Linked DNA regions of Lytechinus pictus. The protein of the gene in region 1 purifies or fractionates together with the protein of each later gene. This does not show direct contact. Links are inferred from orthologs where the notes say so. Each region holds a gene or a part of one and is shown in the gene's direction. Other genes may lie near its edges.

Region 1 (8,219 bases):
GTTTGTATCATATTTCATTTTACATTCATGCTAGGTAAAAACAAACTTAAGATCTGCCAAAAGTTGTGTATGGTCCAACGATAATGGAAAGTCTCCATATGAATTGAAATATTCTTATTAATTCCATTTATTTCATTCATTGAAGTAATGTATTTTAATTAAATTCAGTATTAAAGAAAAACATCTTTGTAATGATTTTTTTTGTGCATAATTCTTTGAGCTATACTCATTCATTACATGATGAAATTTAAATGAAAATGTCACAATTTACATGAAGGAGGAAAGTCATGCTACCCAATATTTCATTTTGTTTTTTGAAACTGAGAAGTAGGGTTCACACTTGGACACAGATGTGTTCTCACGAAAGACCAGAGGCTTGAATGTTGTGTACACTCCAACTGAAGTGGAGTGAAATGTATCGATGGGTGAATGACGATCATTGTTGAAATTATGTGTTAAGGTAGATCAAATGATTGCCTAGCCGCGTCTGAAAGTATCGATGAATTGTGTCCGCTTATTACAGAGCATGATGTATATAACTATGTGTGTATTGATGGAATATGTTTGTATAATATAGCTATCTGATTTCAACTATCTTTATGATAAGTTTGGGAAGTGGGATTGTTCATTCAAAAGATTATCATTATACATAATCTTGTTTGCTGTGTGATAACACTGTACAGTTGCTCACAGAACTAACAATTATCAATATTCAAATGTAAAAAGTAACATTGTTTAGTACTAAATATTGGCAGAGAATTCATTTTTCTTGAGGATATGACCCTCCCACTGTGCCAAAAGTAATTTAAAAATGCAGTAGAGGTGTAAATAGAGACCATATAATACTGTACTAAGGGGCATGACATTGTCACTGACACATAATAGGTTGTTTATGTAAATTTCTAACGACCTTTTGTTTCATGTCACACTACTTATGGACACAGTTTGGACAGTCATACACTTGAGGTAGACCCAATTATTAGCCAAAATTCTGGAGATTAATAAATATATGAATTTCTGACATTCAGAAATCATTCAGATCATCTTTTTAGAACACTAGCTTCTGGGCACCAATAATATTTCTGTACAACATGGTGTATGATATTGCTTTGACCATCCATGTCTCATACTTGAAATTTCACATTTGAGATAGAAGTGTTGCAATTTGCAGTGTAAAATGACTGGTTTTGCACTTATGATTGTTTACTCTACAGATGAGCATTATTTTCATTATGGGTTTTCAGTAATATTAGGATTGCACTAGAGTTTTCCCTTCGTGCATGTTGTATGTGTTGTTTTTGTCAAAGTGATTATTTACAATAATGTGATTTTGTCTTGTATTTAATTGGTTTAGTATTTTCCATATTGTCTGCTGAAATGGCAGAATCGTTACAATCCTCAAGCAGACCTACCATTTTCTCAACTATGTTGGTTTACAGCTTGTCGGTCATGTATGATCCAAACAATTATTTTATTATCAGAACTAATATACGTCATATCATGTAAGTACCAGAGGACTGGGTACCAATACTCATCATTAAGATATTAAAAATCTCTCCCAAACTGAAGAGAGAACATGAAATTGCCCAACTAACACCTACCCACTGCTTTGAGGTACCATTTAGAGTCTTAGTTTTCCAATAATTTCATTAATGCGATTGTCATCAATTCAACCAGTTTTCAATGGAAGTTTATTAACGTCTTTTCATGGGTAGGAATACTAACATAATCAATGTGGAGTCTTGAATACATTATGAATACAAAGTATATACATTACTCTTTTAGTTAAAGTCATTGTTAGGTCGGGATTCTTGTAGATCTACTGGTGATTTCCTATCAACTTGAGATTTACCCAGAAATCTCACTGTGCTGCAGCTCGATTTGTTTTTAATGTACATGTACATTCCTGCATTTTGTGAATAAATATTCTGTCCACCATCAAACGTAATGTGCCATGTCATATATTTCTACCAATCATAGTCTTTACAAACTTCCCTGGTTGCAGTGCTGATACAAAGGAGATAGAGTCAAAGCTGTCTGTTACAGCCACCCAACAGAAAAAAAAAAAGGTCTCTGTGGACAGGTGGCATTTTTTAGATGGTTCCGTGACATTTGCTCCGGTGACAACTGCTCCGATTGAAAATCTGCACATTGAGCGAAACATAAAACCTAACCCCCAAAACTAAAAAAAAAAAACCTAATCCTAATATTTACATCATTCTGAACCAAAAACTCTATTACAATCCTAAGTCTAACCCTATGCCTTCTGATATATTAAGACCGGAGCAATTGTTGCAGGAGCAAATGTTGTGTCACCTTATAGACAGGTTCTATTAAACATGTATCACTTTCAAATGGGAGACAATTTTGTTGGCCACTAAAGTAAGGTTTTCACTATAGATAGGTTTGACTGTATTTACATTTGATTGTGGGGGAGTTTCACAAAGCTCTTTGCAAGTGATGTTCACTGTTGAATCCTTGCATCTGATCGGCTGAAAAGCCTGACAAGATTCTTCATGAAGCTCTCCCCTGAAGTCAAAGAAAAGGAGGAACAGCTTAGGCTCTGGGGGATGTGAAGTTCGGTGTTGACCTTTGGGTGCTGGGCTGATTTTTTTTAAATCATCAGTACAGCACCAAATTAAAAATGAAGTTGGTCCTTGGATGAATCTTACTAGATGTTGAGCTATCAGTATCAATTGGGATGAGATTTGCAAACTCACATTGGTTCTTGGATCTAAGGAAGGCAATCTTGATTGTGCTTCCAACCCGAACATAAAGGACTTGCAACTGTTGTAACTTTGCCATTATGGCAACTACCATGGTAACATTGATTCTGATTGGCTGCTGAGCCCTGTTACCATGGTAGTTGCGATTATGGCACAACAGTTGCAAGTCCTTTATGAAACAGGGCCCATTTCATGAAAATTGTTATGATGACAAGTTTGCAAGAACAGCTTAAAGCTCAAGTCCACCCCAGAAAAATGTTGATTTGAATTAATAGAGAAAACTCATACAAGCATAACGCTAAAAATTTCATCCAAGTGGGATGTAAGATAGGAAAGTTATGACAGTTACATGCACACCTTGGTTCTATGCGAAAGAGAGAATCGATGTCTTTGTCCCTCACTATTTCTTTTGTTTTTTATTAATTTATACAATACTTTGATTTTTACAGATTTGGCTTGACTGAACAACAAAATGGTTAAATAATTGTATTCCACATGTTCAGGGAGGAATAGAACTTTGTTCCACATGAAAATGAGAAAATTGTAATATTTTATATTCCACATAATAAAATACAAAAGAAATAGTGAGTGGGTGGTGTCATCAATTCTCTTTTTTGCATACCGACCAGGATGTGCATATTTAAGCGAAATTTTAAAATAGCATAACTTTCTCATTTTACACCTGATTTTGAGGAAATTTTCAGTGTTGTGCTTATTGCATTTTTCCCTTTTTATTCAAATCATTTTTTTTGGGGGGGTGGACTTGTCCTTTAAAGCTTCTGAAATCATTCAATATAATTGGCTAATAGCAAATTTCTTACAGAAATTGTGGACTTAACATGCCATTATGAAACGGGGCCCTACACCAATACCAAACTTGATATCCCCTGTTTTTTTAAACCGAGTTTTCAGCGACATGAATGAAATTGTCAGCTCTGATTACTTCAGGCATATTTTTGGTGTTAATTGGGTGAAATTGGGTCGAGTTGTCCAGCCGATCTGGCTGTTCGGCTTGTCGAGCTGTCTGGACCCCGTGTAAAAAGTTGTGAAATATAGTTATGCAGTGCCAAACTGCTCTCCATTTGGGGTGTCGGCTGTGCTGCGATATCATTTAAAATTAAGGTACCCCAGGTTCTAAAACTGTACTGCAAATGTATTTAAAAAGGAATGTATTTTGGAAGAAATCAACCAAGTTCAAGTAGGCCTATCCGCCTATCCCATCTTCACCCCCCCCCCCATAACAAAATGTTGGCTCAGGGGGGGGGGGGTAGGTGGTTATCGGGCACGTATGAGGTGGCATCATTGCCGGATTGAATTCCTTCAGTGCTGGTGACAGCTTTCAACTTACATAATCTCTATATGCAAAGCAAGCACATAGGTGAGTCTCTCACAGGGGCCGCAGAACCCCGGGGGGGGGCACTCGACCAAAAAAGTGGTAGGGGTGTGCCGCGGGCGAGGCAAAAAACGGGGGCCTTGGAGCGGGCTTATTTTAAAGGAGGGTCCTCGGAACGGGCTTCGGAACTACAAATGTTTGTGAAAACGGGGGTCCTCGGAACGGATCTCCGTATCTCTGTGAGTGCGTATGGAACGGGCAATCGTGCATAACGCAGCTAGCACGGCCTCCGCCGGGTGCGCTCGCGCTTAGGCGATGGTCGAAAAGCGCTCTACGGCCGCTTTTCACCAAAATTGTAGCAAATCAATGCGACCGGAACGGCGTAACGAAAAATATGCGAAGCTCTGGAACGGATTTCTTTCTTCTTTTTTTCTCGATAAGAAGGAAATGCTATGCCTTGGAGCGGCTTTCTTTGTTCTTTTTCTCAATAAGACAAAAATGCTATGCCTTGGAACGGAAATTTGAGTGTAAAAATGGGGGTCCCCTCCGCGGCACATACCCACTATGCATTATATACTGAGTGCCCCCCCGGGCGCAGAACTGTTTTGAAAATGGGGGGGGGGGCGGCTGCATGTCCATATAAAAATCAGGGGACCGTTTCATCAACATTTTTGTCTGACAAGTTGTCAGATCTGACATCTTTCCTTGATTCTGATTGGCTGAGAGGCACTGTTACTATAGTAACTGTCGGATCAAATGGGACTTGTCAGATAAAACGTCCGACAAGTCCTTTCATGAAACGCTCCCCGGATGGTCATTTTTACGTCTTGTACATGGTTTTGAAAAAAATTGGAGGCTGAAGCCACCCCACCCCTGGTTCCGCACCCTCTTTGAGAAGAGAGGAGGCAAATTTCACGACAGGTGAGGGGCATATTACTGATTTGCCCCCCCCCCCCCCCTTCCGAAAACATTGGCATTGTTCCATTACGCTGCCATAGTGCATGCCTGCTGCGCCTATGGTGCATGCGTACGACGACACGTACGTCTCGCGCGCCGTACAACGCCTCGCAAAATTCGGCCATTTAATCATCACGTAAACTCTCGGAGAAGACTGTGCTCTATCTTGATTAAAAAAGAACCACTAAATTTAATCAAAATGGGAACCAACAAAGTTCAAAAGAAGACTAAGGTACGTTTATTAATCATGATTACCATAAGTAAGGTTTGAAAAGTGTGTTTTGAGTGTCATGCTGCTCCCTGTTGACACTTAAAATTCTTCGTTTTCATGGCATGTTGGGATCGTTGAAATTGCAAATGGAGACACAGTGCGTGAACGTGAATGGGCCATGAGGCATGAATGGTGATTGCGTGCAGAAAAAAGCAACACGCGGTCTGTGTGCTGGGCCACGTGGTGAGGCTGGCTGGCGGCGTGCCGTGGTTGGTGAATGGTCTTGAAATCTTACTGAGACCGAGTGTCAGACAACTTAATTATTCTTATGCTGTGCTTGTGTAGTGTCCTCTGACTTAAAATTTATTCATGTTCGTCCATTTTTTTTTTTTAAGGGGGGGGGGTTTGCCCAAATTTGAGTTTTATTAATCTATGACGAGTATGACTTGGCTAGATTTGGACTTTTGGTGCAAGATCGCCACATGCTCCAACTAGTCTGCACAGTGCCCCTTGTCTGAACATTATTTAGACTCAACATGGTGCTAAATATTGAATTGAAAGCATTAAATTCATGGAATATCCCAAATAAAATGCAGCCTTGCTTGACAAAATCCCTGAAACTTGTGCAAAGTGAATTGGTACGCAGACATGGGGCACCATTTTTTTGTTTAATCTAAAAATGACTGACCTCAGTTTTTTCCAAGGAAATCAAATTTCTCTCTAATTTGTGTCTCACCTTCAATCCTGCGTCGTCAACATAGAAATCTTATACTATTACTAGGTTAAGTTTTTGAATTATCAATGTCATAACTTAGAAAAATATGGATAAAACTTGGACATAAATGAAACTTAACATCCTGCCTGGGTTTCAAAATCTTCTTTACCTAGAGTTAGATTTTTAAAATGTCATACATGTAACTAAAAAAGTTTGGTCAAGTGTGTGACCAAAATTATGACAAATCTTGACTTTAAAATAGATTGAAATTCACAGAGCAAAATGCTGAAAATTTCATCAAAATCGAGAACACATAACGGAGTCGGTGAATTTTTAAGTTAAGCAATATTTTGTGAAAATACTGTAGTCGCACGTCGTCATGAATATTCATTTTGTGGGCTGATGTCACATCCCCACTTTTTCTCATGTTATTACATAAAATCATAATTGTTTCATTTTTTCATACATGTGTGTATAACGTGTCTCCTTTAATAAGTTGCAGCAATGAATACCGGTATCTAATGCACTATATCAGTGGTCAATCCAATTTTTTGTAGTTCTTGATAGAAAAAAATTGAATAAACCTAATAAAATACAAAAGAACAAGTGACATCAATGCATAGAATTGTTTCACTGGAATAATCTTTAAAATGCCATAACTTTGTTATTGTCCGATTTTGATCAAATTTTTAGTGTTTTTTTTTTTTTACTTTAATGTAAAAAAAAATCATGTAGGCCTAACAATTATAGGTTTCCGAGTTTATGAAACCCTTGCCTCTGGAAATAGATTATTGGGGCATACGTGTAATTTTTTAAGGGGAATCCAACCAAATAAGGAAAAGAAAAATCAGACGAGTTGATAGGTGAAAGTTTGAACAATATTGGACAAACAACAAGAAAGTTGTGAATTTTTTAAAAGTTGTAAATATTGGTAATCACTATACCCATGGAGACTTTAAATTGGCCGCATATGGGATGTCATAGTGATGTAAGGCAAGGACTATTCAATGTACTCCAATACACATTATGGCTAAAATGTCATTTTTCCCAAAAGTTTTATTTCAAATTATAATTTTCTGTCATGAGGTCTTAAAACAATATACTACCTGGGTTGTATTTAGATTACTGCCCCAGGGGAATGGGTACTTAGGAGAAAACCACAAATCCCTGATAATAAAGTACATGGCCTATGGGAAAGTTGTCCTTGCCCCTTGTCATAATTTACTTACTCAGCTGCCAATTTGAAATCTACATAATATTAGTGATCTCAATTTTAAAGCAGCTATAATTTCTTTCAAACTTTCACCATTCTGTATAATTTATTTTTCTTCCCAACACAACATTTTATGGCCAAGGCTGGATTCCCCTTTAAGATGGGGGAAAATATGTGTACTTGTTTCCGGTACCCTGAGGTCAGGCATTGTTTTAGGGTCCATTTCACAAATGGGTAGGAGTGGTCAGTGGATCCACAGTCTGAGCATCCAACAATCATGCTGCATAATTACCCCTAAAATCATCCTAACTTGAAATTTATCCTTCTGCAGACTATTAGCTGTACACCGACGTGGCCTGGATCTGGAGGAATGCTGCTCTTCATTAATCTTCGTCCCAGTTTTTGCATCTTGCGTGGTGCAAATTGTCTAGATATGTTGACTTGTTAAATTTAATGAAGGCTTAGCGAAGTCTTCTACATGAATGCACGTTATGATTGTGGTTAGATTGGGTCTTGCGTGATCCAATTGTGTTTCGATACAATGTGTTGGAGAGGGGAGGTCTAGCGTGGCCTGCTATATGAAATTAACATGTGGCTGGTTTGTGGGTCTTGCGTGGCCCAAAAGTTGGTTGCCAGAGTGTAAGTAATTGGGTACCTCCAATGGTAGCCGGAAAATGGTATTGAAGTGACCCAGTGGTCTTGCGTGGCCATGGTGTGAAGGGTCTTGCGTGGCCCTTGATCTAGGTATCATGCAGGTAATACGAGACAACGGGTCTTGCGTGGCCTGTGCATTTGTAGTACGGGTCTTGCGTGGCCCTAAGTTACATGTAAATAACTTCTTACGAACAGTGGGAGGTAGTACCAAATCTGCATGATTGGCGGAGAGTCTGTGGATAAACTGGTTGCGACAATGGTACCAAGGCCCGGCTTCAGGCTTTCTTAATAGATGACTGACTCGGCTCGCCCTTCCTACCAATTTCCAGACAGACCAGTTCCACTCTCGCCCTCTATCATGTTTAAGTGGTAAGGTACTTGTAGTTGTAGTTGAGATGCATAACCGATTT
Region 2 (8,306 bases), on another chromosome or scaffold:
AGTATACTGATGTGTCACCGTCGTACGTTGCGTTATACCAGGATGGGTAGCCAGGGACCTGGCTGATACTCTACCAATGAATTCTTTCTCATCTCCATCAGCATCTTTGAATTTATGTTGTACCTGGGGGGATAAGGGTGGAATAAATGTGATGAGTACATTTCCTATATACATTTTCTTTCCTTTTACATTTATGAGAAATTGATTTTCAAGGCAAAATAATAGAATAGTAAGAGTGCAAATGCACAACTTACCTAAAGAAAATGAAATAATATTCAATAATATAAAATATAACAATTGCATAATGCAAATTGTGAAATAATAATTTGAAATAAGGAAACAAATAGACAATAAATGGTACCAAAGTATGTTATTGCAATATAAACATGTATATTGACAGCAAAATAACTGATATCAAAATACTCAAATCATACTGAAAATGTACAAAATAGAATAGATATTTGATGTAAATATTCAGTAAATGAAATCATATGAAACATAAAAAAGTAGATGAATTTACATACCTGAAATAAAGTATAATACCTGAAAAGCCTTGATAAATAGAGCAGGTTAACACTCATCTGGATTACCCATACTAATACAATGAAATAAGCTTATGTTAATCAGTTTTAATATTCAGGATTCATAATGGGCTGACATTATCGTACAGCAAGAATAACAAATGAGGTGTTTTTGTATTAAAGCATAATACATACATGTATTATGCAGCATAATTGGACTTACAAATCAAACTTTTTTTACAGTTCATATTCAAGATCTGTTCATTTTATATTTTAATTTGTGAAATCGTAGAGTATGTGATGCTGCATTCTCTGGATTTAATAATGCATATCTTCTCAAATTTCTAGTATACAGTCTTTTTCTGACAGAGGTAATTCTCACCCTTTTTCCAACAAGAAGAGGCTTGTCACCATCCTGGCTGGCTGAAGGAGGGAGAATGCCGCCTTTATCAGCTCCTTCACATTCTTTGCCAGTTCTTCAAAGGAGAAGGAGCAGCCTCTCCAAACTGAAGTGATACACGTCTGGCGAGGGAGGTGTCTGTCTTAGCACAAACTGTCGAAATCTCAGCTGAGCCTTTAGTGCATTGATCTTAGAAGAATTTGAGTGAAGCGACGCTAACATCTCCACTTCGTGCTCGCTTTGCCACAGACCATAATACTGGATCTCAGTGGTGTACTTCTCCAGCTCTTGAAGTTTTCTTCTTTCAATTGCTTTTTCTTTTGCTTTTCCAAGCCTTTCCTCTTCTGCTCAATGATCTTTGACGAACTCTCCTTGAAATTTTGATGCACCACTCTTGCTTTCTTCCTTGCATCGTCTACCACCTTTTCAGCCTCTTCCTTGGACATCTGTTGCAACCACTCGGATGTTTCATTGAGTGAAAACAATGGTTGCTTCATTTGCAAGCAGGGTGGCATTTGGTCTCACCTTCATCAAGTGATCAAGGTATGCAAAGACTCGCTAAGCATGCTTATTATGCTTGTCTGTGCTAGTAGACGTTGCTCTTGTGGAGTCATCAAATTCTGTCAGATATTCACTATGAGTGCTCATTACCTTTGCCAAAGATGGAAGGGCATTCTGAAGAATTGTTTGTGTGAGACCATCACTTTCACTAGGTTTTACTAGGCACTTAAAGATAGGGTCTTCCTCAACCCTGATATGTACATCACTCAGGTCCCCTCATGAATTCCTCTGGCCTTTCGCTCCCTTGCTTGAGGGTGTCTAGAACCTTCCTATATATATCTATAGATATCTAATATGTGCTTGGACTTCTAGGCTCCTCCAAAGGGGTGTGGTGACCAGCTTGCTGATTAGTCCAAGCGCCCTGCACCCTGCCAAGACGTATGGCTCTTCTAGGTCGGCCTTCACACTCTTGAGCAACTTGTTGGGCACATCAACGGAGCTTTCCAAGAAGCTTTTCATTTGTGACGAAAGGAAGAAGATGTACGCAGCATTGAAGAACAGGATGTTGAACCTGTTCCCTCTCAAGGGAACCAAGGGAAGCGACTTCATATGATGAGCCTTTAAGAAATCCTTACAATATACCTTGAAAGGACCATGCATCCCGGATTGCTTGTTGCCTCCATGAGCAAATGCCTTTGAGGATGTCTTGATCAATCGGATGACGCTGTTACTGTCATGAAGGAAAATCCTTTGGACGCAGCACCTAGCTGTTGTCCCTCAAACAGCTCTTTTTCCACTGAAGAAAGACCTTTCTCACTCACTTCAGCATACTGTACCAGACTGTGTAGCCCACAGAAGGATGTTAGTTGTTCCAGTGGTGCTCTCTCGTCAGCAGTGAGGTTGTCCCAGTTTTCAATCAGATTGGGCAGCACCTCTGTCCGATGCAGTCTCAGAAGCTCATGCCACTTTAGTTCCGTGGCTGCCCTGTCGGACATGGTGTTCCTGATGTTCTTCAGAATTTTTTGCCCCGCTGTGCGTCCTTCAGCTGCTTTGTCAATGTCTCGTAATAGCTCCTTGAACGTATCAAGCGTATCCGAAGCCGATTTGGTAGCAATATCCCTCAGACCCAAAACGTAATATCTCTTGTCACTGTCGGATCCATGGTAGCCCAATATCTTCTCGCCATATTTGGAGGTCTCGTCCGTATACAAGGTGGTGTCTTCTTTTGAGGAAAATTCGCAAGCTGGTTTTGAGCCACACAGAGACGCTGAATGTTCATATTCTCAACAGTCGTCTTGGAAGGGAGTCGCTCACATTTCTTCCCTGTTAGATTCTCAATCATACTCTGGTTACACCTACTTGGTTGTCCAAATCATAGACGCAGGTGGTTAGTTCTGTGTTAAAACACCGCTTGTCATCATCAAACGTTGGAATTGTTTCGTTGGTGAGATAATCTATCCTCTCTTTTAAATCCTTATTTTCACTTCTGAGAGTGACTTCTTCCTTTTTGATTTCCGCCATCTCGGTCTCAAGTTCTGTTATTCTTTCACTGTCTTCATCTTTCTGATCCTGTTTCATTTTCGTGCATTTCCCTCGATAATAATTCTCTCGCTCCCTTGTCCTCTTCAGTGAGGCACGAAGGTTGGACGTGCAAGCTTTTTCTACTTCCAACTTACTTTCTGTCTTTTGGAGTTGAGTGCTCTGTTGCTTCAGTTCACCGGAGATCTTGGCTGTGCCTGCTTCAAACTTGCAATGTGTGTGATCATCGCATATATTCTCTCCTCTAGGGTGCCTCTTACTCTCCGTCGCCACTGGAAAGCGAAATTCCTGAGCTAGAATTAGGTCTCTCCGTTCTTGAGCAGCTGCTACTTTATCCTTCTTCATACGTTGAAGTTTTTCCTTCACTCTTGTAATGGCAGAACCAATTGACTTATCCGGAACATTATGCAACCTATCCTGAAAAATACCCTTCAGGTGTTGAACTACTGCAGTCACATTCTTCTGCTGCTTCACGAAATCTAGAACATCAGCGTGAGAAACGTTGGCGCGAGATGCGCTTTCTGTACCTTTTAATGGATGTAGGGAAGAAATGGATTAGCATCATAAAGACGGGGCCGCAGAAAGGTTTTGAAAGTGGGGGTGCGGGGTGAATATGCATAAAATCATAATCAGATGGGAATTTTTTTGTTTTTGTACACGATTTTGGGAAAAAGAAGGACGGGGCTGAACGCCCCAAGGCTGCCCCAAACCCCCTGTTTCCGCAGCCCCTGGAATAGAATTTATTTTGTATTTCACACTGATTTTTTGTTTTTTGTTAAATGTATCATCATTGAACTTCTATAATGAGCCAGTGTTGAAGCCATACTTCAAAAAGATAATCTAGAATAGTAATTAATATAGAAATAATCATTAAAATTTGCAAAGATAATTTTTAATAGCCATTTTTTATTTTTATTTTTTACTTTCATTCTTTATACAAAATACAAACATATACTGTGGATCACCCTTGAAAACATGCAAATAATGCGGTTTTCAAATTGGCAAATTTATTTTTGGGACACGGGGTATGCAAAATAAAATGCAAAAATGATGCAGCTGTGGTGGAAAGTAGGTAAAGGAGAAAAGCAAAATATACCTTGAAATAAAATTATTTGCACCATGAGTAAAAGGTTCCCAAATATTGAATAAGAGCATGTGTAGGAAGAGATAAGGGGGAGGGCTTTAGTATTCATGGTTTGAAAAAAAAAATAGTCTAGCCTTGACAAAAACATGAAGCAGAGAAAAGGGTCATAACATAAATAAATCTGTGCATTTATCATTTAATAAAAAAACCTAAACTAGAATCAAGCTTTTTATTTGTAGGGTCTTACTCTTATTAACAAGGGATACAGGCTCCAAATTAAAAAGTGGGGGTGAAGACATCACATGACAGCCTGGCTTGGTCACACCCACTTATGCATATGGCCATACGATAATACGGGCAGCATTTGTCATCATAACTAACTGTTAATTCATCCCTGCAAATCATGAACACAAACCCACACACACATCCCAGCCATAGATTTGTAAAGTAATATAATCTCACTTTTTATCAATTTAATAAATAGTATTGGCCACTCTCACCAAAACACAAACATTAAATCGCACTCTTCACAATATTTCATCATAATCAACATTTTTCAGTACGTGGGACTACACGTTAACACACTTCCGGGTTCTCGGACGCGTCTGGGGGCGATATTTACGGAATCTGAGAAGGGACTTTCCCTTGAATTTACCGCTTTCGCTAAAATTCGTGGCTCTGAATGGCTACTACAAGTTTGGTGTCATTCGCCGCGATTCAACAAATAAGATAAAAAGTGCTGCATCATTGAAGATACCCCTACTATTCGCGCTAAACAGCTCTGAATCGCACCTATAATTCGAGTTTATCAAAATCTGCCGTTCCAGAGCCCCCCAAAAGTATTTAAAAATATGAAATTTCTTATGAAAAAGTTGCCAAAGTTCTTACCTTCCAGAGAAGCCATGTTGCAGTGCATTGTGGGTAAGAAAAACATTGAAATCAAGCTGAAAAAGGTCACCCTCATAACCCGGAAGTAGATAGCCAGTGACAAGAAATGCTTCGTGAAATGAACTACGGTGGAAAAAAATGAAGTGAGAAAACTGGATTTCCTCTAATTAATCACATTTATTCGTCAAAAAAGGAACAAACATTGAATGGTAAACATTTTCAATCATATTATTGAGATATAACAATGTAATGGTGAAAAAAGGGATTTCGACATCATTTCATCCACCCCTGTTTTGTGTACTGTTGGAATAGGGTCTGGCAAATGAGGGGATTGTGTGGCATCGCTACTCCAGTATCGATCGAAAATTATCGAGACTTGGCAATTTCATGCATATTCACGCGACGCTCCGAAACCCGGAAATCAAATGATATAAAGCATGGATTGCTCAACTTGATCTCTGCTCTGCCACGGGTCATAGAAGATTATATCCTGAGTCATCAACTCTTTTTCTCTTATTTGCTTTTCCTTCCTCGCTTCTTTTCTCAATTTCTCCTTGAGCAGATCATTTCGTTTTTGGACAATTGCTTCTCTCCGTTCTCATATACCTTCTTCATTTTCCTGGCATCTTTTCGAGCTTCCTTGATTAGTCTCTGACGGTCTCTTTCCTCCTTCATGTTGATCCACTGACCAGTTTTGTTCAATGAGAACATAATCATCCTGACTCTGGTGATTCGAATTTGGCCTTGATCTCGGAAGATGGTCGGCATATGCTAGGACACGTTCGGCAAGTTTGTTATGCTTTGCAACACTTTTGGTTACATCATACATGTCTGGAGAGGGGCTGAAGTGCACCCCACCAGGAAGATGCTCACCGTATTGTTTTTTTAGAAGACCAGACATTGCTGGAAAGATGACAGACAAGAAGACTTGTACATCTGCATCATGTTCTGATGTCTTGATTTTCACTTTACTGGGAGGAGAGTTGTTCAAGTTTAATCCTTGCAGCATCAAGCTCACCTGTCTTCTCTTGAAAAGATGTATGCAATTGACCTATTTCATTATCCTTATCTTCCATCGATGTATGTAGAACTGATGCCACTGTTGGACCAGCTTCAACATCCATATCATGGTCAACATGTTTACGTTTTCTAGTCGCAGCTGATTTTCTAGGAAACTCGTAAGGAGATGAGAGGAAGCTTTTGTGCCCATCTGTTTTGCGGGATTTATTTTTATTTTATTTTTGAATGCACGAAAGAGGGCTTTAACACATTCTTTGTAGGCTGACAATGTTGCACAAGATTCGGTCCCCCATTTGCTCAAATAAGTTGACTGCAACCATTTTGCACAATTATTATGGCCATTTTCCCTTCTTTGATCAAGTACTTTACCTTTAGATAACTCTAATTGTTGGATATTGGATTGATTTTATTCCTGGGGGGCTTGCACTGGCCACATGTATGAAAATATTTGATTTTCCCGCCTTCAAAATTCAATGCATCGATTTTTGATCGAATTGAAGCTTTCGAACACCGGTTTACAAAATAATCAATGACTCGGGCCTAGTTGTGATCATCACAGAGATTCTCTCCTATTAATTTTCTTCTGGCCTCTGTTGTCAGTTTGACACCGATAAGCAAAATTCCTTTGCAAGAACTTTTCCTTCATTCTTGAGATGGCCAAACTGATCGATTTATCAGGTACATTTTGAAATCGGTTTTGAAAAATCATTAACATCCTCTACGTATTCTGTACCACAATGCAATATTATAAAGATCAACTGTTTTTGTTTTTCTTTTATCCAGGATGAGTACTGTTCAGAGGTATCATATAGTCTGAGAAGACTTGTGCGAGGTCTAGCTTCATCAAGGAAAGGTGCTAGACAGGGTTATGCAATAGCCCTTACTGAAGTAAGTTTCAAAGGCAAATGCTGCAATTATTTTTAATTAAAAAAAAAAATTGGAGGGGAGGTGGTGGGATTGATGACTTGAGTTGTAGTCCCAGCAAAATTTCAGATATCTTTCGGGATCCTCTTTTTTGGGAAGCAAACTTGGTGTACCAGTGAGAAATCTTTCGGGATCCTCTTTTGGGAAGCAAACTTGGTGAACCAGTGAGAAATCCTTCCGCTATCCTGTCTGACCAGAGAAAGTTGAGGTAATGACCATCAGGCATGTCTAGTGCCATTGCATAACGTCTGATGGTCATAAATCTTGTTCTATTCTGGATATATCCAGATGGTGTCAGATTCCCCGGGAAAACAAATTAAACTGTACCTTTAAAATTCAATACACGGTAACTTATATGTTATCAGATATAAATGAAATATTTACGCTGTAAGCAATTTTTTATCGGATAATGTACATACACTTGCACGCTGCACTTCACCAGTACGACAATACACCAGACGGTGGACTGTACTGTTTCCAGAAGAAGAAGAAGGTTAAGCTCGCGCTGAATTTTATTCCATTTATTCAGATATCAATGTCGGTCTGTAGTACCCCTTTACAACCACTGTATATACACAAAATACAACTGCAGAGATCTATGAGCCTCAACCAATTGTGCTGTATTGCACCAAACTTTCATTCTGTTGCTGGCTTCAAGCATTTTCAGGTCATGGAGAGTGAGATATTCACATCACCATACCAAACAATGGGCGAAATATGCAGAGCATTGCATATTGATCACATAAATACATTTCATTTTGGTGATGGGCGATACCTGTAAATGGGTATTACATCCAAAATTGCCCTGCAAGCCCAGTGCTTTAGAATCTGTAATTTTATCATTTCTGTATTTCTTGTTCATCCTTTTTTAAAAACAAGCCCACCTCTACAATACATTGATATGAATAAAAGAGATTAAAAAGATGAAACAAGCCTTACAATGATAATTCCATGAAAATTTGATGAAATATAAGAAAGTTTAAACCCACTTGGAATTCAATTTTTGTTTATTGTCATATGTCAAAAACTCACAATGTTTCTTATTTCATGAATTAAAAACTGGTGATTGCATGACATTGTCAACTCTCATTTTCATATCATCCATGATGTGCCTACCTTGTGGCTTAACACAAAACTGCAAATGTCATTTATTCTTTTTTCTCTCTCATATGATTTTTTTTTTTTGCTGGGATGGACTTGACCTTGTTTTTATGTTTTGTCTCCTTTTTTCAGTTACTTTGTAAGGTGAAAGAGATAGCTTTGGAAGATGTATTCAAACTTATGAAGCAAGAACTTCAGGTGTCTGGAAAGAAGAGTGTAAGCATTACCATTTCCTCACTTATAGGCTGTTTGATAACATGCAAACCTAATGATCAATTGTCGTATGGTAAGCCAAGAAGACATGAAGCGAGCTTGGTGGATATGGTAT

Evidence for each region. Proteins that work in one complex are often made in the same cells at the same time.
Region 2: the proteins of nucleolin-like (region 1) and myb-binding protein 1A-like protein purify together in Homo sapiens (affinity purification with mass spectrometry; 3 studies listed by BioGRID and IntAct, with this or other methods). This does not show direct contact. The link is inferred for Lytechinus pictus from reciprocal best matches to the Homo sapiens genes NCL and MYBBP1A.

What each region holds. Positions count from the first base shown.
Region 1 is NC_087258.1:12,360,484-12,368,702, forward strand, and holds the start of nucleolin-like, read left to right. Parts: upstream 1-5,129; 5' UTR 5,130-5,215; coding exon 5,216-5,248; intron 5,249-8,219. UniProt on the Homo sapiens protein: Nucleolin is the major nucleolar protein of growing eukaryotic cells. It is found associated with intranucleolar chromatin and pre-ribosomal particles. It induces chromatin decondensation by binding to histone H1.
Region 2 is NC_087246.1:16,075,031-16,083,336, forward strand, and holds the start of myb-binding protein 1A-like protein, read left to right. Parts: upstream 1-4,947; coding exon 4,948-4,962; intron 4,963-6,736; coding exon 6,737-6,841; intron 6,842-8,110; coding exon 8,111-8,194; intron 8,195-8,306. UniProt on the Homo sapiens protein: May activate or repress transcription via interactions with sequence specific DNA-binding proteins. Repression may be mediated at least in part by histone deacetylase activity (HDAC activity).